Struthio camelus: one gene and its partner. The protein of the gene in region 2 interacts with the protein of the main gene of each other region in a pairwise test. Links are inferred from orthologs where the notes say so. Each region holds a gene or a part of one and is shown on either strand. Other genes may lie near its edges. The genes, in order: ABHD5 and PLIN1.

The links.
Region 1: the proteins of PLIN1 (region 2) and ABHD5 interact in a protein complementation assay, tested with the Homo sapiens proteins (3 studies listed by BioGRID, with this or other methods). The link is inferred for Struthio camelus from reciprocal best matches to the Homo sapiens genes PLIN1 and ABHD5.

The regions. Positions count from the first base shown.
Region 1 is NC_090943.1:48,170,279-48,186,338, forward strand, and holds the start of ABHD5 (1-acylglycerol-3-phosphate O-acyltransferase ABHD5), read right to left. Parts: upstream 5,789-16,060; 5' UTR 5,786-5,788; coding exon 5,574-5,785; intron 3,781-5,573; exon of another isoform or gene 3,766-3,780; coding exon of another isoform or gene 3,752-3,765; intron 1-3,751. UniProt on the Homo sapiens protein: Coenzyme A-dependent lysophosphatidic acid acyltransferase that catalyzes the transfer of an acyl group on a lysophosphatidic acid.
Region 2 is NC_090953.1:10,035,257-10,050,364, forward strand, and holds the start of PLIN1 (perilipin-1), read right to left. Parts: upstream 5,728-15,108; 5' UTR 5,595-5,727; coding exon 5,539-5,594; intron 1-5,538. Other genes in the region: WDR93 (WD repeat-containing protein 93), read left to right, coding at 6,659-6,922, 7,748-7,943, 8,597-8,661, 9,526-9,608, 10,462-10,585, 11,176-11,214, 12,267-12,351, 13,042-13,219 and 3 more. UniProt on the Homo sapiens protein: Modulator of adipocyte lipid metabolism. Coats lipid storage droplets to protect them from breakdown by hormone-sensitive lipase (HSL). Its absence may result in leanness. Plays a role in unilocular lipid droplet formation by activating CIDEC.

The DNA of each region.
Region 1 (16,060 bases), on a different chromosome or scaffold from region 2:
ACTAAATTTCAAGTTTACTTTTCCAGTAATAACCTGAAATAATACAAAGTCAAAGAAAGAGTCAAGGATGGCAGAAACAAGTAAGAGTGTGCGCGTCAAAATATCAGAGAGAGGCAGTAGGTTTACATCTGGCTAATTCATGCCTAAACTAGTGTTAAATTGTACACTTTTCCTTTCCCATTTTATTAATTTAATGGTTTGCAACACCAGAATACTGAATATTGTTTACATGGCTGATTATGGCAAGAATAAATGTTTCTTTATTATTATTTCCAAACAACACTGTTATTACTTACAAAACTTTATTGTTTGAAGTACAGAAAAAATATTTCTCTCCGCAGCATTCACTATACTCAAGCCCCATAGTGTTCTCTACTTACTCCCAGGAGAATTTCCCTTGATTGTAGGTTGTTTAACAAAGCACTGGAAAAAAAAAATACTTTGGAGAAAAATGCAATAAAGCTATTTCAAGCTAGTATTTGAAAGAACATGAAAACATATTTTTAAAGCCAAAGCCACAAGAACCTGATGACGAGGAGCAGCAAAGAAATATTTATTAGACATAAACCTTTGCCTGATTAAGTTGACTAGAGTTAATCTTCAACATTAGTTTGTTAAATGATGAAAAGCCTATTTTTAAATGAGGAAGATAAAACACAAAGAAGTCTGTATGTTGGTCCAATTCTGAGAAGCATCCTATTTCTGCATTTTCATTCCTGCCGCAATCAGTATGAGGTAACCTGGGAGGTGCGATACCTGATTCTAAGGCCATCATCACTGGCAGTAGATCAGATCTAAAGGCTTACTACTTGCTCCATTTGGCCAGTTCAACTATTTTTGTGGCTGCTCTCTAACTGAGATTTCTGAACTAGTTCAGCCTAAAGAGAAATTATGTTTTAAACCAGATAATTCTAGAGATCCAGCTGACAGAGAAGTGAAACAGTTAACCAGCAAAGCTATGTGCTAACAAGGTGGAAAAAGCCTGACCAGTGAGGGAAGGTGGAAGATGGCAAGCTTTTAAGCCAGAGCTGCCACTGACAAGACAGTTAATACATAACCATGACCTCAGTCAGACCGTTTGGATTTAACTGGCCAGGGACATCTCAGGGACAAGGCTCAGGATACGGTTTCATTAAAGCTTTAACAACATAACTAATTTAAGGACTCCTTGTAGTCTTTCATCCGTGCCCCCAAGGTACAACATGTTCTTCAGTGCTTCAGGTTTCTGAGAATGATGAATACAGTCAGAATCATTCCAGCACACATAATCAATACACAATGACTCTTATTGCAAAGGCTGCATATCCGGGGCACAGCTTTTGCACGTAAAGTATAAGCCAGGTGTAGTAACCACAAAAGTAATTTGAATGGGATGTTCCAAGGACAAAAACTAAGTTTTGGCAATTACAGACAAATAGCAGGAGAAGAAATGTATTCCATTGATCCACTTCATGATTATCACGTAAAAAGACTGAACACGTTGCAGTCCTCAGCGACATCAAGACTTGAGGAGCATACTAAAAAGGCAGGACCCAGAAGCGAGAATTAGGGGTATGGGAAAGGAACACAAAAAAACCCCAATCCTTTAACAAAGGTCTGTTCAGCATTCTCATGAGGTGACAAAAAATATAGGACATTGATGTAAATGAGTTTTATGGCTAAAACGGAAACCACTTTTTTCCCCCAGATGGCATTATAAGCCTGCCTGTAAAGTTCTGTTTAGAACAATTTCAAGCCAAGATGTTCCATGCAATCAAACATTGTGAAACTCTTGGCTACTTCAGTAACATTAAAATAGAAAGCAGTGTTTTGAAAACCTCTGCATAATATTTCTAGGAAGTGTAATGTACATCAGCCCCATTTCAACAAAAAGCCCACAGTAGGTTATTGCAGAATATTGCTATATTAGGTCAGAGGCAAAAACAATGCATTCCTCATGTATTTACTGCATCTTGAACTCTGTGTTCAGAACATTCGACATCAACATTAATGCAAAAATGCAGAAGCAAATTTTATTACTCTCTCTACTTATATGAACAGTGATATACAGGACTCATACTTAGCAAAATTAACCTGAGAATGTAAATGCGGTAAATCATAAGCAATGAGTATTACCTGGCTATTTTAGTGATATTCAAATTCCCCATGATGTTAAAATTCATTTGAGCAACCTGAGCATTCAGGCAGCAGAGGACTTATCGTACAGTTTTGCTCTCTCCCATGCTGAACCTCAGCTGTAGGTGAGCATGGCTATATAGCTTACATCATTGTTTCCTCCCCCAAAATACATTTTATTCTCTGTCTCCCAGTATTGCCTTTCACTTTTTATCCATATGTAATTCCTTTCTATACCTTTTTGTCATTTCTTCCGCCCCATTTCTAGGTATATGCAAAGGTGTCCATTCCAGGGCACAGATTTAAGCAGCATGTGTTCTTTCAGTGAACGCCACACGAATAAAGCTTATCAGTGGACTGCTGCCTGTGCCTGCACCCTGTAACTCTCATACTGCTTACAAAATAAACTGTGTTAGTGTCTAGTGCAAGGAACCATTAAGAATGTTTGCAGTAATGAGGAAAACATGCACATGCTTTTGGTCAGGCAGCTATTCCTTATTCTTATCACTGCCAACTGCTAAATAGGCTCTAAATCTCTCGAAAATTGCAGTGTTCTATCTCCTTTCAAAACATCAGATATACTCCTCTCCTAACTCCACAGTCTGGTTAAAGCCAGGTCACAAATATACTACAGAGCAGAGAACTAATTAATTCTAACAGGTTTTCAATAACACTGTTCCCCTCCCTAACTTACAACATACTCCCTAACATATAAGCATTTCCCCTTAAAAACTTTACAGTACTCCAACTGCTAACAGTAAGAGGGTAATCAAGCCCTCAATTATTTCCTTCCATCTTTTCTAATGACTCACATTATATCTCAATTTAAAAGCTAAAATCAAAGACGATCTAGGGAAAAATCATATTAGCGACTACAGACCACGTAAGAAAGAATACAGTACACAGAGATAAAGATGCAGGTACAGCGCAGAGAGAAGGGGGAGCTGCCAGTCACACAACAACTGTTCAACCTCGTGACAGAGATTGTGCGTGGAACACACAGCTTTGGTACTAGTGAGGATCTACACCCCTTCAACTCCACCACAGTAAATTCACATCTGATAAAACTTGGCATTGCCACAGTAATCAAGTGTTGTTACAAACATCACATTGTACATCACATTAAGAACTTCTGAAGTGTATTATTAAAATAAATAAAACGATCATTTTCAGGTATTACATAATTTCCTACTACTCTCATTTTATTCACCTACTGATATGTTCTTGGTGCCCTTCAGATATTGCATAACCTTAAATAAAATAATATATTAATAAGTAAATACTGTTTCAACCTCATTTATCAGCCTTCTAATATCTACCTTGCCAGAGGCCCACATTTCAGACTATCCTTGAGTTGCTTCAAATTGAACAAAAATAAAATACATACGTAACAAGCATCTTTTGTAAATCTACATAATTGTCCACTACGCCATTTATCTTTTGTTTATATTCCTTAGTGCATTACACACAATTTGGATCACAACTTAAATAGGAGATGGATACACATTTTTATTTTCCCATAAAGAACTGCATAAGAACACAGATAAAAGACTATGTAAAGAATGCAATTATTTCACCTAGCTCCAAACATGCTATACACCAAACCCCATTTATACCACACCCTTTCACTGCATACCTTTGGAATAGCATCTACATTGTGTCTTTTTACCACAGTGCTACTTCTTCCTATGTCAAATTGCAGTACTCAATGTTTTGACCTACTGAGCCTAGCCTCCACTTCTTAGAAAACCCTCATGAATACTGTCTAGGAAGTACCCAGTCCCTCCCATTCTCCCAGAAACTCAAAGATAGTTTTGTTTACATGCCTAGATTGCAAAATTTTTAGAGGTCAAGGGAAGTGCAAATAACCTTAAAAACAGGTAAGAAGATCTAACAGGTCTAAAAAGCCATTGCATCAAATGTTCTGCTAGGGAAAGGTATTTTTATTTTTTATATATATACACACACACACACGCACGCACACACACACACACAATTAATAAGCCTTTAGACTCATGTATAATACTTACTAAATGTCATCAAGAAAAAAGTTCAACAATAGTCTGTTAGTACTAGCCCACCCCATCTCCTTTTTTTGCATTGTAATCCCTTTCTCTTCCTCACTGCAATGTATTAGTGGACTTTCTCATTGGCAAGAGGTGCTCTTGCAACTTTCTATTAGAGAAAGCATTTCTGGGATATCTCTCCCCCTCATTTCTGTAACCTCACATGATCCTCTGTTTTCTGTTACAACTCATTCAGAAAATCTTCCTCCTTCACCCTTCATCTCCATGTTTTCTTCTTGTCACTCAAGGATTTACCCTTAAATTCCTCCTCTTTTACCCTCTTAACCTTATTCCAGAGTGACTTCATCCCATTACATAGCTTCACTGACACAAATATCTCTCTTCTCCACTGACCTCTCTCCTGCAGTTCAGCCTCTAATCTGGATCCATTGGTGCCAATGTAAACTGAGCCACTCACCTTTCCTCCCATGCCCTCTTCCCTCTTGCTGTCAATACAAATTATGGACAAAAAACTATCCTGAAAGAATGTCAGAATTGCAAGTAAACACTCAAAAGTTATGAAATTTGAAAATCAAAATTTCCTCATCAAGTAATCTTAGTAAGCCACCAGAAAAACTATTAGACCTGCTTTTTTCCTCCCTCCTCATCAACCAGGAAAGTTCTTCAGATTTTCTCAGTAACGTTTAGAAAACCTGTAGCTGGTGGAGATCCTCCTGGCATGGACCCTGTCCTTTTTGGAGGGCTAGGTCTCTAACCGGGCCTATAAGGCAAGGCTTAGTATAATGTCAACAAAACAACAGAACTCTGGAACAGCACCGATCTTCAAACAGGCTCCAGAAAACTTAGAATTTATCCAAAGGTATGCAATACTGGCAAAAGTTTGTGTTACGCTACGATCCCCAAACCTTTCCAATAGTAACTCCAAAGCTAGTTTACCTTCTCAGTTTGAGAGTCCCTTTAAATTTCCATTGGGCTTATGACTTCAGTTACTCAACAGGTACTGGAATCCTAATCTGGTAACTTCCATACTAAACTGTTTGCTTGGTAAACATAAAGTTTCCACTTTATCCACAGTGCCAGCAGCAGACTTCCTAATGTTGGCTTATTAATCCTGCATTACCCCCAATTAGTAACATCTTAAACGTAATTGAAAAGCTACTCTATAACTGCTATCCTCCCCCCTCCACTCCTCGTTGTCTTTCTGAAATGTAAGGACTTGAGCCAGATGACTGATAAATCTAGTAGGATTTTTAACAGGGGATTTCTGCTGTAACAGATGACTTGGCCAGATAATCACTGAAGGAGAGCGGGAACAGGTAACTTCAGGCAAGATACTAAAAGTACGTTCTCTGTAATGGTATCTGTAAGAATTCTGTGTCCGTTTACTAGATATTTGAAGCGTGAACCACATGCAACACAACTGAAGATTACCTGGGTTTACTTTCAGGCCTGGTAGTGACAGTGAAAATCATGCACTTGAATACTGCTTCGCCTAGGATGGGAACCAGTGTTTTCATCATATGCAACTGGAAAAGAACAACTGAAAAGATTCGCCGTGGCTCGAAAAGAACTATTGAGGGGAAAAGACCTTCTGCAGCTCCCTGGAGTATGTTGGTGATGCTTCTTCTCATGTTGTCTAACATAAGAACAGGTTTCAGAAAGAGTAGAGGAGAAACTAACTTGTGGTGTTCAAACCTCTAGATTATGATTCCTGAGGTAGTCTCCCTTAAGAATCATAAAGAACTATGAAGAACTAAACTCCCTGAAAAATCATAAAAGTGTGTTTGCTGAGCTATAAACTGAAAGTGTGTCATGCCCACATTTATTTTTATTTTTTAATAAACTGTGAAAGGAAGTTCAGGGGCCTCCCTGAGGTCTTATGAACGCATCTTGACCAACTGCTATTTCTTCCCTGCTGGGTTCTTTGGCAAGTCCTTGCCAGCAGCTCTATCATATCATTCCCTGCTACGCTGAAAGAGCATGAAAGACGGTAGGCAAATATATAAATGGGTCTATCTGAATCTAAAAATCCATTTCACAAACGTTAGTACATCACGTGTAACAATGGAGGACCACTCCGGAAAGGAGAAAGAGAATGAAGAAATCAAAAAGTAAGAAACTGTCCTCTAAACCTCTGTCCTAAACTTGATTCAAGGAATATCCAATAAACAAGAGAATCCAAAGAGCAGTCAAAACCAAGTAAAGAGCAGACCATCTACTCCTATATATTCACTGTAGTTTTTCCCCTCCTTGTTCAGTAATGTTTGCCCAGAAGCCTGAATACTACTATTCTAATTCCCTAATGTGCTTATTTAAGCCTCTCAAGGGAGCATTTACATGAAATTCTTCCTTGTCAGGGATAGGGAACACACTATCACAATCATCTTTCTTCTGTCACTGGAATGAGAAGATAGCTCCTATCTTTTTACCATCTCTTTCCTTCTCTCCCTTGAGTTTGGGTGGGGGGAGAAGAGCTATCTTTCTGATGACCACAGACTTTCCTCTCCCAAAATCACACAAGGATAGGAAAACTGTTTGAGACAAGCTTATAAACGCTTGAAAACCTGCTCATATGTATACTTTCAGATGACTACACAACCGGAATGCAAAAGGCATTGAGCACTGAAGTTACAACTTACACAACCCTACCAGTGAAAAAGACAAAATCAAAAAAGAGGAAGGAAACATCCTTTTTTCCTTCTTTACACGCGCTATCACAATGAACTTCTTATGTTTCACTAACTTTAAAAAATGGAAGCTGCAAGTCCCAGACTTGCTGCTAGTTCTCTGTGCTATACGACAGGCCTTTGGAAAAGGCTCCTTTCACAAAGGAAAAGAGAAAGGATTGTGCTTTCAGCAGCCCATCTGCTTAAGGTTTGCTTTAAAATCTAGATGTTGAAACCAGCAAGAAAGCAAGCAAAAATCTGAATTCAGACTGCCCCTTAAAAGTACGCTTTAATATCACTATCTTACTAAAAGATAGACATAGGCTGTATAAGGTCTGATACAATATTCCTCTTCTGCTTTAATTCAATAACTTGCTTCTATAATTTGTAAAAAGAATACTGTAACATTTCAAACCGCATACCCAAAGAATCAAACACAAACAAGCCTGAAGGATAACGGAAAAATAATTGTGATTATTGGTGTTGCAGTGACATTTACAGTATATGTTTTTAAATATTATTCTAAGCCACTATTTTGTGAGACTACAGGCCACATGCAAACAATTTGATGTAGGCTTTTAAGTGCAGACCCCTCTACATTTTTTTCTTTAGAGAAAGTTAATCCACTTATCTTGGAGGGAAAGAAAACAGTGCTCTGTCTTTGGGATTTTTCCCAGATATGTGCATATACTTAGTAGCTGCTATTACTAGTTATTTTGTAAGCCATAAATAGTCCTGCTGAATCCAGAATGAACATAAGTGAATTCAATATTGGCAAAAGGATTATGCTAGGCTGATTGCCTCACAGGCAGAAGTCTACTTCTGCAACTTATACAGAGAAGGTTCAAGGCCGCGAAGAGGTTTGGAGTTGTTAGTAAGTGACATGTTAACCAAGCAAATGCTCCCACGATGAAGACCCAAAACATCTGTTTAGTTAATTGTCCTGACCTGGAATGAGAAAATGTCATGAATATCTTTCAATTAAGACCATCTAGGAAGTTACTGAGATACTGTTGCTCCATTTTCACCATACTTGTACAGTTACCAGATTTCAACAAATTGGGCATGTTGCAAAACAAGATAAGTAACACTAACTTTTCAGGCAAATAAAGTAAACGTCATATTTATTTTTCAGATATACTTGTCACTAACAATTTAATCTAGGGCTTTAATGGTATCTAATAATTCTTCCTCTCATTGTCACAGAGTTTTAAAACCAAAAGTATTTAACATATTTCACTCATTTATAAGTCTTCTGTGGGTACTGAGCTTTGCTCAGCTTGAAAGGATGAAGAAATGCTAATTTTGACTAATATTAGAAACAGAACAATAGTGCTAATAACCTGGAGCATTAACATTTCATCATAGCTAATGTTGTTTTTGAAACCACAGAGAAGAAGCACGAGATTTTATTCTTATTCTTAGAAGTCTTTAGTGAACCGGGGAGCTTACTCTGAAAGATTTCACATTAAACGTACTGACTGCTCAGAAGAGGGGCACCGACATCATCTTCAAAATTAAGTCCCTTTAAAAGCTATCCAGTTGAGCAAACCATGATGAGACTGTCATAGTCCGTTTTGAAAACTTAGTCTATGATTCCTAACGCTATGCCCAGACAGTCTAACATTATAATCCTGCAATTCTGATAGGTTACAGAAGTTGAGGGCACTTGGCACTATTTAAGCAGCACTCAGCACTCCATGTGATCAAATAAGGCAGCTAATACAGTTCAGGCTAATGCGCTGAATGAACATATAAACAAAACAGGTTGAGGCAGAGCTATTTTAAGGCTCTGATTTAGAAAACTCGTAAATCATCAACAAGAGGCTTTACAAATGACGTGCATTTTATGAATGTGAATAGATAAGAAAGTCATCTGAACGCAGAACCAAGAAGGGAAACGTAGTTTAAAATGCAAGTAGTAACGCTGCAGAAGGTATAAAGAAAGAAAAGATATAAAAAAAGCTATTTTAAGTTTGAGGAAAGGAGGACCAAACAGAGAAACAGACCAGACCAAACTGCACAGGGCTTTGCAGGTGAAGTCTTTCAAGCTTATCCTAAAAAACAGACTACTGTGTGTATATGGGTATAAAGGCACGACAGCGAGCTGAAGACATGAAAAGATGAATAGTCCAGGTTTGGTTAAATTGAGCTGGCAGCAGACAACATTCAAGACGAAGTATCAAAGCCAGAAGTCGTAAAACGGGCTAAATAGAGAACAAGACTGATAACAGAACAGACATACAACATGACCACACGCAACAAATATTATCCTGCATATGAAGTCATGAATACACAGCATGACTTTCATGCTAGCGGTTAAAGGATTTTAGGTGGATTTCCTCAAAAAAGGTAAAATTTAATTATGAAAGGAAAGAAAGAAAAAAGGAAAGAGCAAGAGTGGGTTTCTGGGGGCCAGGAATCAGTCATGTGATACCTTACATGAACGATGGAGATAAAGGAATAAAGGGAAAAATGTTTGTATATAGCACATACAAAGTACATATGCTTATCTGACTGAGGGAATACAGCATATGTATGACTACAACACAATTAGATACACTCTGATGGAATATTGTTTAGACTAAAAGCACATATAATGATGGAAAACTAGGAGATAAGTGATAAGATTAAGAAGTATGTTTTATGAATAAAAAAGACTCAAAGACAGGATGATTGTATATTCCATAGTGCAATAAGGGAAGGCAGAAAATACATTTTGGAGCAATAGAAAGATATCATGTCTGTCCTGGCAGCTGAAGTGTACAATGAGAAGTAAAACATACACTGAAGGACAAGGCATGAGACGATATACACCAATAAATAATAGGGGGACAGAAGAAGAGCGGAGCACTATTTAATAACTTATGGAACCATTTGCATGTACATAGTCTGAAGACGCAGTGCAGGACTACGTAGCATCAGGAGAAGAGTGATTAATAGCTATAATGAAGACACATATTGAGCGTGTGAGTCAGTAGTTACAAACAAATATTAGGGATATCAAATGTACATTAAGAACAGGGCAGGGCAATGTATAGCAGGGGAGTTAGTTTGGTCGATGAGATTGTCTTGGGACACTGAAAAGAACGAAAAGTTTAGTGAAGGCAGCTGAAGACGAGGTAGGTATACAGTATTAAAAAGGGGGAAAGTCAGAGCAAGAGTAAATAGGTTAATGCACATTGTAAAGATGTGCTTTCATCCCCACCTTGTATCGAGGATTACAGAGAAGAATAATAGTAGAGCAGCAGAGAGACTGAAAAACTTTACTGCCTGCTCTGCATCTAAGTGAAAGAATAATAGTAGAGTGGCAGAGAGACTGAAAAACTTTACTGCCTGCTCTGCATCTAAGTGAACATACTGAACGTAGAGAATGAGAAGGTAGGATATTTGCACGTACAGGTAAAGTTGCAAACACACACAAAAGCATAGGGCATCTGTATATACAGATGTGCGCACAGAGGAGACTGGGGTGCAAAGAAAGGGGGGATAAAATTAATGTGCATATACACTGAGGCAAGGCAGTTCATGAAACGCGCATGCATCTATGCAGGCGGGAGCGCGGTTACAGAAGCCAGGCCAGGAACGGTGAAGTTTACGCACAGATGTTGAAGCAGCAGTCACATAAGGCTTGCGTGTGCCCAGCGGCGAAATCACACTGGCGACGGCCTGCGAAAGGACGTGTCTGCCCGTGAAAGGGGAAGACACGGCAGGGCTTCGCAAGAGAGAGGACGGCACGGGTGCGTATGTGCACGAGGGGTGCTCGGCAGGCGCGGGGAGGACGCGAGGGACCGGGCAGGAGCAGCCGGCGAGGCAGCGGGGCGGGAGGCCCTGGCCGAGGCTGCGGGGGGCCCCGCGCGCCACAGCCGCCGCCGCCAGCGCCGGGGCGGCAGCGGCGGCCGGTAACCGGCACCGGCACCGCGGGGCGGCAGGCCGCAGCCTCCCGCGGCGCCCCGGGAACCGGGGCACGGCGCATACAGATACGCAGCTGTGTGCAGACGTAAACCCGTGTATAAACACGCACCTGGGAGAAACCTACAGCCACAGGCAGGGCCGGGTGGGCGCCTATAGGCGCCGCGTGCCCCCTCCCGCCCAGGGCGCCTATATAGGGAGGACGAGGGTCACCCTCAGGGCAGCGCCCTTCACTCACCCTTCGCTGGGGGCCTCCTCCTCGGCCATGGCGGCGGGGCGGCGAGCGAGAGCGGGCGGCGAGGCGGCGGCGGCGGCGGCCGGCAGCGCAGCGAGGGACAGCGCGACCGCGGCGGCACCGGCCATCACGGGGCCCGCCCGCCCGCCGGTCGCCTGCGTCATCCCCGCAGCGGCCGCCCACACCATAGAGCGGGGAGGCTGCCAGCGGCTAGAGCGCCCCGGCGCCGGTCGGGGGGGGGCAGGGCAGAGTCGCGCCGCGCCGCGCCGCGCCGCGCGTCCTGCCCTGCCAACCGTCGCCCTTCGCCCGCGGGCGGGGGGCAGGGTGCCCGCGCGCCGCGGCGTGGCGTGGCCGTTGGGGCGGCCGTTGGCGCGCGCAAGCTGGGGCGGGTAGGGGTGTGGTGAGGGGGCAGGGACATGGCGCCGGCTGCCTGCCGCAGCGCCGTGTGTGTGTTTATGTGTGTGCGCGCTTGCGGGGGACCCCGGGTGAAGGGTGGACAGCACACGCCGCCCAGAGGGGAGGGCACGGGCTCTTGCCATGCGAAAGCGGTTTTGCTGGCGTTTCAAGCTGGGCTTCTGGGCCCACGGTGCCTGCACGACCTAGCCTGATCCTGAGATAAAAGCCTAGGTTACTAACGAAGACGTCTACCTCTTGTGAAGAAAGGCTAGACAGAGGGTGAAATCTTGCCTGGGTTAATGCTCTGTCGCGGCGGGTCAGCCACATCATCCGTAGAAGCGTTTCTGAACTGTGAATGTTAAGCCTCCAAGAGAAATATGGGTACATAGCTACTGAGTGATTATATTTCCCATTGCTACCTCGCTAGTTAATAACTGTATAGTAGGCAAGAGCCTGAACTTTGGAAAATGACATTAGATACTGAAAGCTCCTTTTGAAAGTTGACAAGTAATGCAAGAGAGGTGGCAATACCCAAACCAACGTCTCCTTTCCCTCCACAAACTGAGCTCGTTCACCAGCTTGTTTAGCAACAACAGCACTGGATTTTCAGGTTGCTAGTTCTGTGTTTGATTTTCTATGTAAGAAACATAGGATTATTTCTGAATGTAGCTTAAATAGTATCAGTCCTCAAGACAATTATGAAATAAACATGTAGAACGCCTATTGTGTGTTCACATTTTCAAGTATTTTGAAAGACTTGTACGTACTTTGAACGAAAGTTTGCCCATACCTATGGAGAGGAGAATGCTGAGGGAAAGGGATATACTTGATCTAGGCAGTGTTCAGTGTCACAGGTCGTATTACTATTCAGTTATGTAAGAACTGCATCCATAGTGAACAATAACTAATCCTCAAGTAAGGCAGTAAGATGCACTGAGTGTAAACAGTGGTAAGTTTTTAAGTCTTGCATTTCTTCTGAAGTTTACCACTGAGCTGAAGCACTTTAGAAGAACAGATGCTATCTGATGGAAGATTTTTATTTAGCTTTCTGAAATCCTTTGATAAAATGCATAATATTAATTTGGTAATAGCAGATTCTTCACAGCTAAAATTATTCTATAACAACAGCGATTGTTCAGATTACACAGCTTCAGCTAAAGTTTGTTTGGCTGTGTCACAATGCTTCAGTAATCTAACGTTTCTCGGGATAGTTTATTTTTTATTTGCCTGAAATATTTTATTTACAGAAAATATGAATATCTAGGAATGTAGAAGTATATGATCACAGGCAAACATTTGCAGTGATACTCTCTGGAATTTGCTAACAGCCTGAAACAATAGCTTTGAATGCTGTGATTCTTTCTACTTATTATTCCATTGAAATTAATATTGAAAACTTCATAATCAGTATTTAGGCCCTACTCCTGGAGCACACAAATGTTTAGATACAGTTTTCTCTGTGATTTCATTGCAGCAGCACTCCCAAAAGCACTAATTGGTTACATGTGTTTAAGAGTGTAAGTGTACGAGTAACTTTTCTCTTTTAAGAGTTCCTCTTTCTCTATTACTTTCTTAGCCTTTGATAGAAATAGCTCAGTTTTTCTATACTTGATTTGATTACATGGTTAAATTAGTTATACTTCTGTGCATGAAAAAATCTCTTGAGATAATGCTGATAGAAGAAAGAGGAATGTCAGTTGGCTGATGCTGCAGTGTAAAAGAAAGACAGCTATATCATAATGAGAAGCAAGTACTTCAGATGAATTTTCTCATTTTGATATTTTAGAGAAATTTCTAGACACTGCAAATATTATCTCTTTGACTGTAGGGAAAGGATCCCTACCACTGTTTAGTCTCCCACTTCAGTAATAAGACTCTATATTGATTTTTAGTGGGACTTTATTGGGTTAGCTTAATATCATTCTCTTTAATAAGAAGTATGTTACCCAATGTTGCTATATGAGCCTGAATTTTATTTCCAGATCCCATCGTCAAGCATGGATAAGTTTAAAAAAGAAAGACTTTTCTGTCTCACAGTGACAAAATAAGAAGAGATGCCTGCTCACTGTTGTTATCCTTTGTTACATTTTTCCAAGACAAACATTTTTTCCTGATAGCATCAGAAGAAAAAACAAGTTCCTTTGGCTGGGAGAAGAAGAATGATCCAGGTGGCCTCACATATCCCCCTTGTTCTAGATTGAGATAAAGAGTCAATTTTTGTGCTAGAAAGGCTCCAGATGACATTACAGAATTTTCACTGTCAGAACCATCTTGCTTACTCTGGATTTCAAACAGTAACTTTGAGACCATCAGTGTTAGAACTCAGTGTACAGATAACTACCATTTTTTATCTGAGATCTGGAGTTGTACTATTGCCTATGTAAATATTCCTCAAATACACAGAATTTCCATATTATACATATTACACTTTAAATGCTACTTTTGACCTACAGAAGAAGTAGCTACTTGTCAGTTAGAGTCTGTGACTTAATGAAGCATGAAAGGAGAGCACAAGTACTTATCACCCACACTTTTAATAACAAAATATTTTTATGATGACCCACTTAGCTTGCTGCTTCTCACAAATAGCGTGCTAAAATCAGCATAAAGCAGGCTGACTTGGCCAAGTGTCTACAAGCTAAGCGGAAAGGGGCTTTTATGATTGGTGTTTATATGAAAGGAACATCATATACTGTGCCTATTCTGATTTGGTAGCAGCAACGAAGATAGCACCCCAGCTCGCAAGCAAAGGGACTCACACCAATTGCATTCTTGTGGTGCATCAGCAGGCATGTAGTTAACTGCCACACAGCCTCTGCAAGCCCTTTGTTTTCTGCTCCCACAGGTCCTTCTCTGAGTGTCTACCCCACACGTTCTCCATCTTCTACTTCAGGCATAACTTCCAGCTGAAGGTTTAAGCCTTGCACCCCAGGTAGCCCTGCATGAGAAGGAGAACCACCTGATTCTGAGATTTTGCTGCAGCTGAGGGTAACAAGCAAAACACAAAATTAAACTGGTTGGTCGGTTCCTGTTCACAATAGCAAGAGGACCCTGAAGCCCTCATTGTATACCCCTATGAGCCTAGCTGTCTCTGGGAGGGCTTGGCTTATCTTGCTTGCTCCTTCAGGAGAAGAGCCTGACACAGTGAGCTGCAGGCTCAGCTGCAGGTGCTGGAGCTAGCTAAGCCTGAATGGAAACCCAAATGGCTGCTGGAGGACTTGTCTCCCTCTGGACATATAAATGAGGAAGTTATGTTCCTAGTGTGACTGCTCTATATTATCCTGTTCCACAGCCATATTTAGGTGTGGAAGTCTTGAGCTACTTGGAGGTCCTCCTTCATGTGAATTTTGCCAGCATCTTCCACACGACTTGTCTCTGCCTCTGGTAAACGTAAGCAGGCTGTTCCTACAGATATCCAAAGTCCTGGGAGCTGTAAGTGAGGTTGGTGGAGTGGAAGTCCATCTCTGACAGAAGGCTAGTGTTCTCTGATGATTACTGTGTCTGAGGCCTGCCTTGCATGGGGAAACAGTCTGTCTCAGCATCTTGTACCTTCACCTTCCTGCTTTGCAGGAGGGCAGGTTGCCTGGTAACCCTTCCAAGACTCATGTCTGATCCTGCCATGGGAGCAGGTTGTCTGTGAACTGGGAAACCTTCCAGACTGTGGCCAGGACAGTAAGGGGACACTACTTGGGGTGGATGGTTGGGGCTAACAAATGTCTTTATAAGCCTCGCACTTGAACAAAAGAGGAGAGTCTGAAAAGTCATAAGGAAAGATTGGGGATCATGCTGGCTGCTTCAGGGTCATGTCATGTCATGTAAGCACAGTAAATAGCAATCCTAACTGAGTCGCTATTTACAAAATCGGAGTGTGTTTGCATTCAGAGCACCTATAGCACCATTTTGAAACAGCCCCCACGGCAGTTGCAGTAGGAATTTGTGTAACCAAGTGCAAGAGTTGGCTGTGGGGAGGCTAAAAGAAGTCAAAGTGCTCCAAGAAGCAAGTGAACTGCACAGAGCGGTAGTTTGATGTCTTCATTGACTGGCAGCAGCTGAAGCCATGACATGCTATGTTGCTGGCCAGATCTTCCATCTTGTCGTACTTGGCTATTGTAGAGCACATGACTCAGATGTGATTAACCTGAAATTCCCTCCGGGATACCAGAGTGGCTGGAGAGAGACAAGATCTCGTGTTTTCAGGTGGGTGGAAGGGCACTCCCATTGAGTACTGTGTCTGCCTGGGTCATATGTGCAGGCTGCCAGAGCCAGTGCTGATACTATGTTCAGCTGCATCAGACTGTGTGTCATCTAAGCAGGGTCCCCTGTGCCACTAACTTCTGTTTTCTTTTACTAAGCAGCCTGAATATGATTACCCACATGAACATAGGAGCTGGAGATGTGAATCTTCCATGGTTTCTGGTGAGGTGCACACATATCAAGGAGGTTATTCTAGTTTGATTATAAACAATAAAAAGCAACTAGCTGAACTGGTCAGGGTGGACATTAGATGAGACTGTCCATGAAGTAGCAGAGCTAGTGATCTGCACAGCTGAAACGAGGAGTAGGATCAAAATCCATGAAATTCAGGAAGGGAAGCTTCAATGAACTTGGAGAAATGGAAGGTAGGGGTCCTCTGGGAAGCGTGGGGTTATTCTTCCCTAGATGCAGGACCCTGCACTTGCCTTTGTTGAACTTCGTGAGGGTGCTCTTTG
Region 2 (15,108 bases):
AAAAGGATTCTCTCCATTTGATTGTGATCCTATGGCTTCAGTCACATTACATTAAGGTACATTACATTTCTAGCCTCCAGCTGGGGAGCAGAAAGACAAGTATTAGTGCTTAACACCCAGCAAAAAGAGCTACTTTTGTATGTTCCGACATGTGTAATGTAGAATGATTCAGTCAGGCTGAGAGAGGCTGAAAATTCACTGCCCCATCTCCAAAATTAAGTCCGTAATTGCTAACCCCAGTCTCTACAAGAGAAACATCAAAGGTCGGCTCGTGGCTTTGCACAGTGTTTGTCCAACCCAAAGGAAACAAAGCACAGTTTCCCTCCATGGGGCACAAGAAGGAGTATCTAGCTAGGGGCCACATTAATATTTTAATCCATTTCCCTTTATCTACAAGGGAAAAAGAAAAATCAGTTGGCAAATCAATGAAAGATACATTTTGTATGCGAGAGCTCCCCTGTAGAAAATTCATAGCACAGCTTCTTGCAAGAAGATAAAACTCTGTAGGCAGAGGGTGGCCAAACCTCCCTTGCTAGATCATCAAGACTCCTCTTACTCCCTTCGCAGCAGTTACTGCACACTGGGATAATGGTCAAACTCTGACCGAGGGAGGGATGGTCCACACATCGTCAGGAGCTCAAAGGCAAATGGAGTAAAGAAAAAAAATTCTGTTGTTAAAAAGGAGAGGAAGCCCTTGAAGACAACACAGCCCATCACATAACGCTCCACCACGGTCTGAACAGACAGCACACTCTACTTTTAATGGTATTCATTTCCATATTAAAAAGAAGAGCTGCTGCAGGCCACATTTGGTCTTCAAGCACACTTAATTATCCTGCCCAGCAAGCTCTTTTTTCAAACACTTTATTGGCTGGCTAACACTTCACATTCAAAGTGGAAGCAATTCCAAGCACGAGCAAAATGATTTAAGGTAAATTGGAGCACGCATGTATTACCATGTTTACTAAATTCTACAGCCTTCTCCTTTTAATAAAGGAGACTGTCTGTAAACAGAAATTAAAGGAGGCCAGAGTCAGAAATAGTAAGAGACTACCTTGGTTCTGGTTAGAATAATCTCTGTTCATATCTCCTGACAGATAAACAAGGAGTCCTTGCATCAGAAAGCAGCAGAACACACAGGCCTAGCTCTGATGAAGAAATGTGATAATTTTGTCTCCTATAGGCTGAGCAAATATTTCTCAGATGGTGTTGGACCTGGTACGCTGCAAAGTCAGGAAAACAAGGACTGCACATGTCATGCAACTGTTAAGACAACTGTACACAGCATTTCTCCTTTAACCTAGACCACACTGCCAGGCAATCATTCCCAGCTAGGTAAGTGATGAGTAACGATGCAGCTGCAGGGAAAAGGTAAGACCTCTTCAAATGGTAGAGCCCATTCAAACAGTGAGCAAACACACAAGAAATCTCGTGGCCATGACAGGGAAGGATAGAGAAGATCAGGTAGGAATATTTGAAACTTGAATGCCCAAATCCAGATAATAAGCTTCTCTTCTCACAGGAGATTCTGATGTTATCAAGTCCAGCTCTGCTCCCTTCCCTTCGGGAGCTTACACAACCAGAAACACACCCTTGCAGTCCTTCCAACTCACAAGCGCCAAGACAGGCTTTTCTCCTTAACTGCAGGTTCCAAAGCTCCTTATTATGCTGGAATTTTTCAAGGAAAATGAAAACAACAAATCAGGCTACCTAGCACACAGGGATTAATGGAAAGTAGTTGCACTTGGAATCACAGGGGCTAGGGAACTAAGATGTGTGCATAAGGGGAAATTCAGGGCTAGCCAGTGGTTCCAGATTCACAGCTTTGGAAACCCAGTTCCCTACAAATCACAGGATTATCAGCACTGAGATAAGCTTCTCCCACATGCTGTCCTTCACCAAAACCCTCACCAATGGCCCGCTGGAGAATTCAGAGTCTGCAGCAAACAATCCTTGGCTCACATTGCCAAAGGAAAAAGAAGAAGGTGCTGGTTTCCTGGGGCATGAACTGGCACTCACTAGACTATGGATCCAGTAGCACCCACGCATGTTACACAAAGAGCACTGAAAGGTCAGTTAGTTAATATCACTTTTCAGTTACTATCACACTGGATTCAAACCACTGCCTACGGATGACAGGATCCATCAATTCAAACCAATCAGAGGGCTCACACTTTACTTCAGGCCATTTTAATCACAGTTCCTAACTTGCCTGAATAAACTAAAAAATTTGACTGTAGGAACCTTTGATTGGTGAATTCTACCTTTCCAGTGTAAACATGATTAGTTATGAGTCATATATCTATTACAGTTGTCTATGCTGCTATTTCACAACCCTAGATTAAAGTATAGGAACATCAATATTTCCTTATCTAGCAGCCACGTTCCTCTAGCAGCCACGTTCCAAAGCCTGTTTCTGAAATACTATTCTGTCTTCTCCCATTTCTACCCCATCAGGGAGTGTGTCATAGCACCCAACTCATCTGCAAAGATACAGGGAAGGAAAAGGGGTAGAATTCACTTATTCAAAGGGCAAACCTCATCTTGAGGTTAGTGTGAGACATCTTCATTTTTAAAGTGCCATACGGAAAGAAAACCTGACAGAGAATCAAAACTGTTGGTTCATTGCACACTACGCAGCTCCTTTTGCATCACTGCTTCAGTTTCAGATGTGGGCTTGCTAACGTAAGGATCCCCACCAGAGAGGAGATGAGGCCACAGAAACCCAGGACTCCTGGATTGGTCTTGTAGATTCCTAATGCATCCAAAGGACTAGAGAGATCACACAGATTCTTCACCAGGTCTAGCAGCAAAGGAGGATGTCTTTTCAATATCTGAAACAGCAGGAGTAGAAAAGATGGCAAGCTATCACATTTCAAGCAGTTTAGCTTGTGATCTTCTTTGTCCCAGGAAGCATTTTCTTTTGTCTTTCCTTTCTGTATAGCTTGCTCCAACCTCCAGGAGATCTCATACCAATCTCTGGCTATATTCATCAGCAGTGAAAAGTAGTAACACTTGGTAGCCCAGTTCCGCCACTTCTGATTATCGATGTCAGGTTGGAGACCAACACTCCTCAACCACAAGACTGTGTCGCAGACGAAGTACAGTGCACGGGTCAGGTTGGAAGTAGTAAGGCAGAAGCGAGGAACCACATCTGGCAACTGTGTAGTTCTCTTGGCTGCTACCAAGGCGTGTACCGTGTTGCCCAGTCTGAACACTGCAAGAAAGCCCGTAAGCGTTAGCATGACCTGCCCTTTACCACAAATAGACACAGACCTATGTAGGACAACTCTGCATGTCACTGTCCACATATACTTTTCAAAAACTTGGTAGTCTTTGGGCATTTGTATATTTAAGTGTCTTCTCTTAGGGCAAATTTTGAGTTCACAAAGTAAGAAGCTAGTATTTGCAAGGAAAGGGATGTAAATACCTCAGTACTGTTCTGCAGCAGCCCAGGACCTACATATAACTCTCTCAATAGCCAGGACTTGCAACCTTCTGCCACTCCATTCCCAGGGCCTACGTGCTCTCTGGACCAACATGACCAACTGCCCTGAACAAGGCAGTGTCAGCAAAAAAGTGACACAAACAGAGCCTCCGGTTTCAGCTCTAGACTGGACCAGACTTCTCCTAACTCTGTGGACAGGAGACGCTACTGCACTAATCCCATTACAGCCATGAGCTATGTCATTTCTAAGCTTCTCTGCAGGCTGGTGATTCACAGGTAGGTCAAACTGAGACCCAAGTCTTTCCTCAGCCTTGGATTTTTCAGAAGCACACGTAGTTCTCTGCAAACAAGAACAGTATATTCCATATATGTTGTATACTACACAACAAGCCTAATTTCATCCTCTACACTACCCATGATTGTTAATACAATGTCACACAGAACATGTTTCATAAGCTGCTGCTCTGTAACAATGACAGATGTGGCAGTGTCCAAGTTCTGTGGAACTGCAAATGGCCTGAATTTAGGCCTGAATTCTGTTAGAGATTTGTTTAGCATAAGCAAGAGAATTATAGGTATGCTGATAAACCAGCTGGCCTCTCGTACTCCAGAGCTAATTGGAATAATAAAACAAATATATGGTAACATTTTAAATTAGAATATATGCCTTATATACTAAAATTGTTTTAGAATTGGTTAATCAAAAGGCAGGTATAAGAATAACCTGAGAGCAAGCAGTATAACAACAGCAACAGCATAACCATAATTGATGCAATTGTGACACAGAGTGGAATGATGCATATGGTTAGATCATAAGAAAAGTACAGGAGAGTATATAATTTGGTAGAGTATAAGTGCCAAAGAAAATTAATATGTGAAGTAGGATATGAAAATCCACATCAAAGGATGGTCCCTCAGAGGAGATTTTCTTGGGATGATTATCCTTAACATGTCTGTCTCATCACGTTAGCTGAAAGGACTCCTAAGCACGCAGTAAGCTAGCCTTGTATCATTAACTCTTGTGTTCTGTCCTTTATCAGAGATGACAACTTTGATTTCTGCAGCAACAGCTGACTGTTAACTCACTTCTCTAGTTCCTTCACCAATACTTTCAGCTTGCCTAATCAGAGAAGAGGCTAACAAAGTCATAAATGTCTAAATGGCTGTACCTATTCTGGCAAGCCAGCACAAAATAAGGTCTACTGACAATTTTGTGAGTATACTAAAAAGAGGTTATGCAGCTTAAGGTAGGTTAAATATCCAAAACACTGGCTCAATAGTTACTTTGATGGAAGGAACAAGTGAAGAGGAACTATCCCTCTAGACACCAGGTACTTACTTTTACGGCCAGAGCTCATGCTAGATTCCAACTGCTTGAGTTTCATTACCAGCTTCTCTTTATCAGCCTTATGCTCTAACAAATAGCTAAGCAACATGCATGTGTATTGAGTAGCTCTGGAATGGAAAAAACGAGGAAAACGGTTCACAGGTGAAACACAGACAATTCATAGGAACAGCAGAAGTGGGCCAAAACTTCTTTCCAGGCCTAAGGTCACCCGTCTCATCTTTCTTGGCACCTTACGCATGCAGCAGTGCCAGGATTAGTTAGATCTAGCGTAAAGGGCACACGTGCAGGTGCAGCAGCTGGAGACAGGTAAAGCAGCAAGCAAAAACCAAAAACGCAGCAGAGCTGTGCCAGAGAGGAGCAGCTTGGGGGCCTGGATGCGAAACGCTGCCCGAAAGGGCAAGACGAAATACTGCCAGAGAGGGGCCCTGCTGGAGGCCTGGAGCGGGCAGGGCTGGGAGCAGCCCTCCGGGGTGACACCTGCCCGGCAGAGGGGGGCCCCAAGGCAGCAGCCGGCAGCGCAAGGGGCCTGCCGAGCGCCCCGCCACCAGGGCCGGGCAGTTTGGCAGGCGGGGGAGCTCCGTCCCACGGGGGCACGTTTCGGGCAGCTCCAGCAGGGAGGCCGGCGGCACGGCTAGGGACAGACACAGGGCCCCGAAGAGGCCGGCGCCGCCGGGCTGCCCCCCGCGGAGCACCGGCACCGCCAGGGAGGGCGGGCAGGGCCCCGGCCCGGCCCCGCACTCACCGGAAGAGCAGGTCCCGGCCCTGGCTGCGGTTGGTGAAGTCCACGAAGCCCTCCATGGCCGCGCCAGCGGAGGGGCAGCCCCGGGAGGAGTTTGGCAGCGGCTCCGCTCCGCCCCGCCGCGGGGGCCGGGACCCGCCTCCCCTCCCCTCCCCTCCCGCCCGGCCGGGCGCGGCGAGCCGCGGCACCGGGAGCGGGGGGAACCCTCCGCCGGGGCGATCGTTTCCGGCCGGGCGGCGCGGCGCGGCGCTCCGCCCCGCCGTTGCCACGGCGACCGACAACATTGGCGGGCAGGTGAGGGGCGGCGGCGGCGGCGCCGCGCTGTCCCCTTCCGAGGCTGCCGCCGGCGCGGGCCGCTGCCCGGTGGGCGGCCTGGGCGTTGGAGCCGTGCTGGGAAGCGGCGTTTTGAGCCCGGTGAGGTGTTGTGGGCGGGATTCGCGTGGTTAATTTGCAGCTCTGTAGCTCTCAGCTCGAGAGGTCCGCGGTTTTGTTTCTCCCTTTCCGCGTTAGAGGCGGAGGGGTTTTGTCTCCCGGCTGCCAGCCTGGCCCGGGGCCCCCGCCGGCCGCCGGCCCCTCTGCCCGGGCCCCAGGGCTCCCAGTGGCGGGTGAGCGTCTAACTCGTGGTGACCCTGGTCACGGGCACGCTGTGAACGTTGACATCTGGAAGTAAATGCTGTGCCCAATGGCTTTAAAGTTCAGTCAAACTTATGGTGAAATTGCCAGTTTTCAAAATTAATTTGTCCGGTTTTTCAGTCCGGGCTGAATAAGCCTTTTAACGAAGAACAAGCCCATACTTACAAATGTTGTATACAAACGCACCCCTAAACTTTTACACTTACCTTTTCACCTCAGTGTTTAGCCTGCAGGCATCTCAGTAGCAGTATTCCCAGAGCAGGGCAAAAACACGAGCAGTAGAAGTGATGGAGCCAGTAGAAATGAGCTATGTAAAACAAGTTTGCTCTGACTGTGTTTACGGATAGGAACCCTGCTTCCCTGTTAGAAATCATTAACCATCTTTTTTTCCATTACCTCATGAATGTAGATATGACACAATTCCTTGGTCTTCTGCGTCTACTGTGGTTACTGCACCTGTGGAGCGTTTTGCATCTGGAAAGGCAGAAAGATGCCAGTGTATATCCGGAAGCATCCCCTGGAGATTCCTCCACCATCTGAAAAGGACTGGTTAAAGGACGACGAGGAAAATTTCTTCCTGCAGGATCCCGATCAAATGCTTGATGTGTTGCCTCAGCCCTTCCGGATGATCAACAAACTGGTGATGCTCGTTTTTGAGAATGCTATGGAAATCATTGAAAGAAGAGAGACACTCCAAGAAGCACAAAAAGTGAGGATCCAGGCCACAAAATGCTTTCCCACAGCTGAATTCCAGGTAAAGAGCCCCTCGCAGCAGAGAGAGCGTTAATTACCTTAGAAGTTTTTCTTGATAATGTCCATTCAGTTGATTTTTACATCCTTCCCTTCATCACCTTCCTCAGAATCCACTGCCATCTCACCCTATTCGTTTCAAAAGGCTGCAGCTTTCAATCTTGTTTGACAGGTCTGCTTCCCACCCATCTATCACACCTCTCTGAAAAGAGAGAAGCAGATATTAAACAGTACTAAATTCACCTTTTGCTTCTCAGGCTGGCCCCACCCTTGTTTGCTGAGGAGAAGGTGGTTAGTCACTAGCATGTAAATGGACAAGTTCAGCTTTGTTTATGATGATAGCTGGCAGCAGAAAGGGGCTGCTCTTGGGGCTTGTAGGAGCCTTCTGTGCAGAAGGGCTGCACTGCCTTCTCCATCTATCTGCAGAGGGATCTGGAGGGCAGGTACCCAGGAGGCATGTCTGCAACTACCTAGAATAGAGGGGCTCAGCATCACATCACAGCTCTGCTTTGGCAGAGGGAGGGCTGAGTGCTGCCAAGTTGTTGGCCCTTAAGGCCCCTTCTGTTTATCTGAAGGGGAAGGGTAGGAGCCAACTTTCTCATTCCTGACACAGAGCCATCTCTGATGGGAGTTGAGACACCTTCACCCTCTCCTCTACCTCTGCCATTCTTCTGATGAAAGCTCATGCAAAATTTTTTCCCTCGTAGAGTACATCAGTGTTTACTGTCAGTGAAAAGTTAGGAGTATATTGCTAGTATGGCTGACCGTGACTGACCTGTCGCCCACTGGGAAGCGGCTGGGCATATTCACATTTTCCTTTTCTTGGTAGGTGACAGGAAGAGCCAACTGCCTTGCAGTCTCTGGAAAATACCTCTTTGTTGGGCTGTCTGTGGGTCTGGCTGTCTTCAAGGTGTCTGACTGTAAACAAGCCTGTGCTTGGGATGCAGCCAAGACAGAGGTTTGTGCCATCCATGCCTCGGACTTAGGGAATGAGCACCATGCCCTGCTTGCTGTGGATGAAATGGGTTAGTGTGATTTGGATTTCTTTGAGCTACCTCGGGGATGGCTGCACTTTGGGACTGAAGAGTTGGCAGCTACTTTACAGAAAAGTACTAAATTAGCAGGAGTATAAGTATTACTGACAGGTTTCTTATAAAGGTCTATGAAGAAGGGTGTTAGATAGTAAGTTGTAGGGTAACAGACAGGCCTAAGGCCGTGGGATTAGTGAAGGGTGTGGGCTTGGTGTCCTTCTCTCTGGAGCAGCAGGGGTGAGTGCAGAGCTCAGGCTGAGGTGCAGTAAATTTTAGCAATACCTTAGACCAGACAGAAAGTATTGTTAGCCGTGGGTTGCTGCCCATTCTTTGTTTCAGCATCTGTAATTGCACAGCCCTATGATAAATCAGCTTAGTTTGTTGATTCATCCGAAAGCTATCATTTTTTGGTGGAAATATTTTTCAAGCTGGCTGAGCCCTGTCTGTGTATGGCCAACTGTTTGCAAATGCTGACATAAGGAAGGCAGTGGCAGTTTAGTGCTGGAAGCAAGGGGTCATTTCTCCTTGAGCCCAGGAAAATATGTAATCCTGTTCACTCTCCCGCATGTGTTGTCACAGCCATCTCCCAAGAGCTTGGCTACCATGTATTCACTGGACTGCGACTTATCTCTGTGTTTCGCTTCTAGGGCTTGTCTGGCTCTTCTGCTTTCACAAGGACAGCTTCTTATTCATTAAAAACTTAAATGAAATGGTAAGTAGTGAGTTAATTTCATAAACCCTGGGCAAAAGCTGCTAAGTGATCAATCAGGATGAGTACTAATTGCCCTCCAAAAATACTCTGGTATGGGCAGCAGCAGCACTCCAAGACCAGAGAGCCATTCACTGAGCCAGGAGAGCATAGGCAGTGTGCCTATGTGACATACAGCCCATGTTATTGCCAAAGTCCTCTCTGAATGCAGATATCCTAGAGGTATAGGATAGGTATAGGGTTGTGCAAAAGCACCTCCTGGAGGTTCCTGAGTGCCATTGTTTATGACCCAGTGGAATGAGTCTTCCTTTACTTGGGGAAGTGATTTCCAGAGCTGATGGCTCTCCGCTAAGAATGCAAACTGTAAATCAAAAAGTGTAAAGTACGTGTAAATCACAAAGTGTAAATCCCTTTCCCAGTCTCCAAGGCCTTGTCTGGTGTTAAATTCTTCTGATGTCTGCTTTTTCTTTGCCCTTTTGTGGGATCAAGCCAGAGCACTAAGTACTTCCCCCTCATCTTTCTCCATTATGCTCTTCTGCATCTGCTCAAGCTTCCATGCACCTTTGAAGGACAGCCCGAGGCAAGACTGGAACTAAGCACCTCTGAGGCACTTGCACAGGGCACATGAGTAGCACTGTTGGCCACTAGACTTTCCTGCCAACCCAGGGCAAACTTAAAAAACAAAACCCTAGGCACAGGGCACTTTCCTTATCTCCCTAGTCTCACGCCTGTGCACTGCACATGTGGTAGTTAGTCCGGGTCTCCCGCTAGTCTGTCTTGCCTTCACCCATCAGAGAACTGTTTAAAGTCATCGAGCGCTCTACATCGGTAACCCTGCTCTGATGCCAGCCATCTTTCCTTTGGCAGGAGGACATCAGCAAGCGAAGTACTTGTGTGGAGGTGGTGCTTTCCCAGGGAGGTGATTACGCAGGAGTTCTGCTGCAAGGCAAGTGCAGGAGCATGGTGCATTGGACGACGACTGTTGCATTCTAAAAGAGGGGGCAGCGGCAGATGCTTTTAAAATGTTCTGTCTTCTGGGTTCCCAGGGATCCTCTTCCTAAACTACCCAGTCCTTTTCTCCAGCTTAGAGAGCTGCTGCTGCCACTCCCTGTCCTCTCCAAAAGGCCTCTTATAGATCAGCACTGATCCCAAGTCAGTTGAATGGAACTAGGCAGCGCAATTCTCAAGGCTCCCAGAAGGCTCAGTGAAAGCAGGTTTCCCTCTTTGTAGAAGTACCTGCCTCAGTTCTTCATCTGGTTTACAAGGACTCACTTTTACACTGGAAATATATAGACCTGAAGAACTTTCTCTGCAGACATAAGCCAGAGAGCATAGGAGCAGCCTCTAAAAACATAGCAACAAACTCGCCTTGCTATAGCACTCTTCTGTTTCAGGGCAGCTGCCTTTGTCAGCCCATTTGTTGCTAGTAGATTTTCTAGACCCCACGTCTGGTGGAACCTGCCTGGTCATATGATGAGACTGAGATATATAACATCCACTGAGAGTCAGTGTGAGACCACTTTCTACCTTCCATCAGTGGCTGCAGGTCAAGTTCTTTGACAAAGGCACTCGATGGAATTTGTTTGGTGGGCGTCAAGGGGTTGAGCTGGAGGCTGTGATGTCTGTCTTGGAGTCTAGCATGTGAATCCTTAAGTGGGAGGAGAGGTGGGCTGCATGGAGAGCAAAGGGATTTTAGATTTCAAAAAGGATCCAGATCTTTTCTTGAGGATGTAAGAGCTGCTTGCCTGAAAGACCTTTCCTCCTTATTTTCAGTTGCTCAATACAGTTTCCCAATGCAGGCAGCACAGAAGCTTGGCTGGAGATCTACCAGTTGCCTAAGGATTCCTGGCTGAAGGAGAGAGAAAATAGCCCAGGAGCTGCAGCAGAGTTGGCTTTCAGGGAGAGGAAGTCAAGTCAGACATCTATGGTAAAAAATAGTTCTGTTTCCCTCTGTACTATTTTCTCTTGTACCCTTTTGCTTACAGGTCTGTCTTTAACGCTTGCTCCTGCAGACAGTGACAGCAAGATTCCGGCTGAACAAGTTTGTCAGCCCAGGGGGACAGCGTATTTGTTTCTGCAGCTTCTACAGCCGCCCATCCCACGTTTCACAAGAGTGTCATGTTATTGGGACATGTTAACTCTCCCAAGACAGGCTTTCCAAGGAAGTTCCTTTGGTTCCAGGGCTAGCATTTTTTGCTGCCCCTCCCTGAAACTGCCGGCTCCTTTCCTAGCACTTGCCCCATCTGAGGAGGCCCTCTCTGGGGGTATTCCCACAGGACGTCTGCCTTCCTTCTTGTGTTACTAGGGGAGGGTGAAAGAGCAGAGCTGAGAATCAGGCGTTATATCTCCACCTGGGAGTCTGGTCCTGGCAGTGCCTCTGACATGGGTTCATGTTTTAGATCCCCAAGAGGAGCCTCTTGGGGTTGTAGCTGAATCCACTTGAGCAGGGTAGGGTCTCTGCCCACCCTCTGTCAGCCTGTTTGAAGTAACCACCGCCCTCTTCTGGTTCTTTGGCAGAAAAGTCTGGAGCTGTATGGAGAGCGTTCTGCAGAGATGGTAACTGACCTCAGTGAATGTCCTGAGCTGCTATGGGGAATCTTAAATACTGAGTCAGTGCTTAACCCTCTCCCACATCACTTTCACCCTGCCAGATCACCTCTCGACACTCAGGCACTGTCTGTCTTGCACCTCCAGTTCATGCTCTGTAACACCTGCCTCACAGTTTGTCCTTCCTTCAGCAGAGACTTTCTGGGAATTTAAGAGGGACTTGCTACTCAGCCTTGTCTTCGTGACAATCACATCCCCCTTAAATTGGCCAAGCCGAAAGTAAACAAACACTGAGGCCTTCCCTCTTTGCTGATCCCCTGTGCTCGTATAAGGTACCCAAGTTCCTGCCTCTTCCTTCTCAGACATGCGCTGCTTCGCCTGACCTTTCCTGTTTAGCCAAGTCCCTGGTGTCATTGTGTGGGTGTGGGGAGGGTACACAAGTGTACTTCCTCTGGTAGGACTCTCCACTCCCAACCAGACATACAAGTGATCTCCTAGAGTGCTGGACCCTTTGAAGCCAAATCTGGTTCATTTCTTCCACAGCACTCTGCAACCTTTAGTCTTTTTTTTTTTTCCCTTGAGGTCTAAAGCCTTCCTGTGCCCCACCCAGGCCTGTGCTACAACAAGAGGCATTCAGCGTGATCTGAAGTGGAGTGCATGTAGAGCGCAAAGTGTCTGAGGAGGAGATCCTCTGTAGTTTTGTTGGGGAAGTAGTGACCTCCTTCAAGCTTCTGTATTTTGGCCTGAAGAATGAGGCTAAAACCAGTATCTCCTAGGCAGTGTAAGCCAAGCTTTACGTCGTCCCATATTTTTGGGACACATTGCCAATGGATAGGCTTTCCAAGGAGATTCCTTCGGTCCCAAGGCTAGCATTTCTGCTGCCCCTCCCTGAAACTGCCAGTTCCTTTCCCAGCAGTACTGCCCCATCTGAGGAGATGGGAACATCCTACTTCAGGAAACGTTTGATTCTCAGGAACTTCTGACAGGTGAAAACTTTCAGCATAGGACACAACACAGCTACGGGAAAGCCAGTTCTCAAGCTGACTCTTTCTCTCTTGCAGGAGTCTGTGTCTGCAAACAAAGCTGATGCAAAGCTGGCTCTCCCAGTGTTGCTGCTGAAAGTCAAGCCACCGAAACCTATTACAGGTCATGGACTGTTTCTGCATACTAACCCCTCCGCCTCCTTCAGGTGGCAAAGAAATCATGGCCCTTATGTCTACAGAACAGAATATTTCAGCAAGTTTTAGTAATGTGCTTCCTGGCTCCTTCTTGCCCTGTCTCTGTAGTTGCCTACAGTCCTGTAGCGGGAATTGCTTGTTGCCCAACCACTGCATGATGTGCCACCACTGTTAGCACAAAATACTTCAGTGTGCCTGGCAGCGGATTTCATACAGCCTCAGCTTCATTGCCACCAGACAGGGAGCAGACTATTTGTTTCCTAGATCCTAGCAGTCTGACAGCCATCCCAGTTCTTCTCTCTGACTCCTAAATTCAAAGGAACATGCTGAAGCTTTAGGGAGGAGGTTAGGGAGGGAGCAGACCTTGTTCTGGGGATGCTGTCAGGGAGAATGCCACAGAAAGGCAATGAGCTGGATCCTCAAGTGATTTGCCCTGATCCCTGCCTTCAAATAACTGGAAAATGGACTAGTGATACAGAAGGTTCCACAGAACGTTGTTAATGTTGAAACATTTCTGCCAGTAAGATGAAACGTGGCCCTCTTGAAGACAATGCCACCCTGAAGTTGGGATAGTAGAAGTGCCTCTGAGCTCTCCCATGTCTTCGTAGTGTCTGCTTCTCCCCACGCTGTGGCTCTTTCATTTGTGTTCTCAATCCAGGAAGTATTTTTAAAAGCCCTTTGGATGCCTTGATGAAAGTGGATGATGGCAGCATATTTGGCTTGGGGTACAATCACCTGATCAAGGATTCCCAGTGGGAGCAGCAGGAGGCAATCTTCCACAGCACTTATCAGGAGTATCTGGAGGCCGAGACTGAGAGCAAGGATGAGATCCCCAGGTGAGTAGGAGCCCTAACCAGCATTTTAGTCCATGAAATTTCAACATAGGGTGTTTCCCAAGTGTCCTCTGACTCAGATCTCCCTCCTTCATCCCAAGGCTTCAGGGCAGGGCCAGAGCCACTCCAGGTCCTACTGCAGTGCTGTTGAGCTACCAAGGCCTTTCTTTTGCATGTTTCTTTTTTCCCTTTTCAGACATGCTACCTTTCATTTTCTCCTGCCTAGCCGGATCCTACAGGTGGGACCTGAAGTAAAACTACAGCCAGGTAATCCAAATGGTGTTAGAAGAAGGTGTTAACCTGTGGAACTCATTACTGCATGACATTGAGCTTCAGTTAGAGCTCAATGGCTTGGCTTGGTTTGACTATATAAACTCCATCTTCAAGGACGTAAGCCTGGATAAGAATGCCAGCCCTCATACGTAAGTCAGTCACCAGTGTGCAGTCAAACAAACTTAGCTCCATAGTAAAAAGAGGAGGGGGCACATAGGCAATGAAAAAGTCACAAGCAAAGGGGAAGTTGTTTGTATTTTAGGTTCTGTATGAGTAGAGTTCAGATAAGTCCTGCCAGGGAAACCTTGAGAGCTCCTGTATGTGAGATCTCCTCCCAGTATTTCCTAATGGTGTTTTGGAGTTGCTGGATTGCTGTCCGTGTCCCTTGATCTCTTTTTTTTTTTTTTTTTTTGTTATGCCCTCCCCATTTCCAGCTGTTCCAGCTGGCATCAGTGTGCACTGGGATGGAAGTCACAATCTCTGCTTGTATTCGCTTAACCGTCCACTCAAGGAGAAAGTGGGTAAGCAAAAGGAAACAAACTGCTTATTTGGAAACCTGTGACCAGAGGCTTCCATATTAGCCAGTGTGGCAGGGAAATTCCCAGCTGCTCACAAAGGTCTCACACTGCAGCACCTACCATTGTTAATCTGCCCTTTTCCCAGCTGTGTGTATGGGGGGGGAATCCTCCTTTTTCCCCAGCAAGCTTTTGGGAATTTCTCTTAGCTTTTAGATTCATTCACTGCAACGCAGTGCAGGCAACCTTGTGGGAGGGAGGGGAACCAGGCCCAGACTAGAGTGGGCTATCACCTTAAGTAGATATAGCGGAGGCTGGAAGGGGTTGGCCACAAGTTTAACAGTGTAGGAGGAATCTTACTTTCCCTAGCAGGGCTCCCTGGGGGGATATTCAGAGGCCAGTAATTGTCAGTGGTTCAGGGAAACAGGGAATCAGGGAGGAGAGCTGCCCTATATCTTGAGGGTTAGGCTTGCATTCCAATTGCAGGGCTCCATGCTTTGTGTGCTGGCACTACGTTCAATGAGGCCAGCCTGGCAGGATACCTCGGATTGGTGTGTGCTGTACTGGGAAAGAGGAAACTGGCACCATGAGAGAACAGTTGTCTTATAGTCAAGCCTTCTCCTGTCCTGCTGTTTAGATGCTGATCTGAAGCCTGATGTTGTGTGGCCTTGTGCAGCTCCAATTGCGAGCTCAGCTGTCAGTTCCTGCTCCAGGTACCTGGCATTGGCGTGTGAAGATGCAACAATAACTATTTGGGATAAACACCTAGGTGAGCTTGCTCTGTGGTCCTATCCATTGGGATCACAGTGGATTGCTCCCCTCCCTAGGAGTTTGAGGCTCTGAGTGGATGTGAACAGGGGATTGCCAATGACTTTACAAACAAATCTTCCAAAAATAGTTCAGACTTATTTGTTCACGGAGTGGTTGGCCAGCTGATGCCAACATGGCAACGTAACTAGCCCTGGCAGAACCATTCCCATTCATATCAGTGCAGGACCTATGAACTGCTGTAGTGAGGACTGACTCCCATCTCGCCCTAAAGCTGTGGGACAGTCATTTCTTTCCTACTGTAGCCTCAGGTCATCTTTGAGATGTGGCGTCACA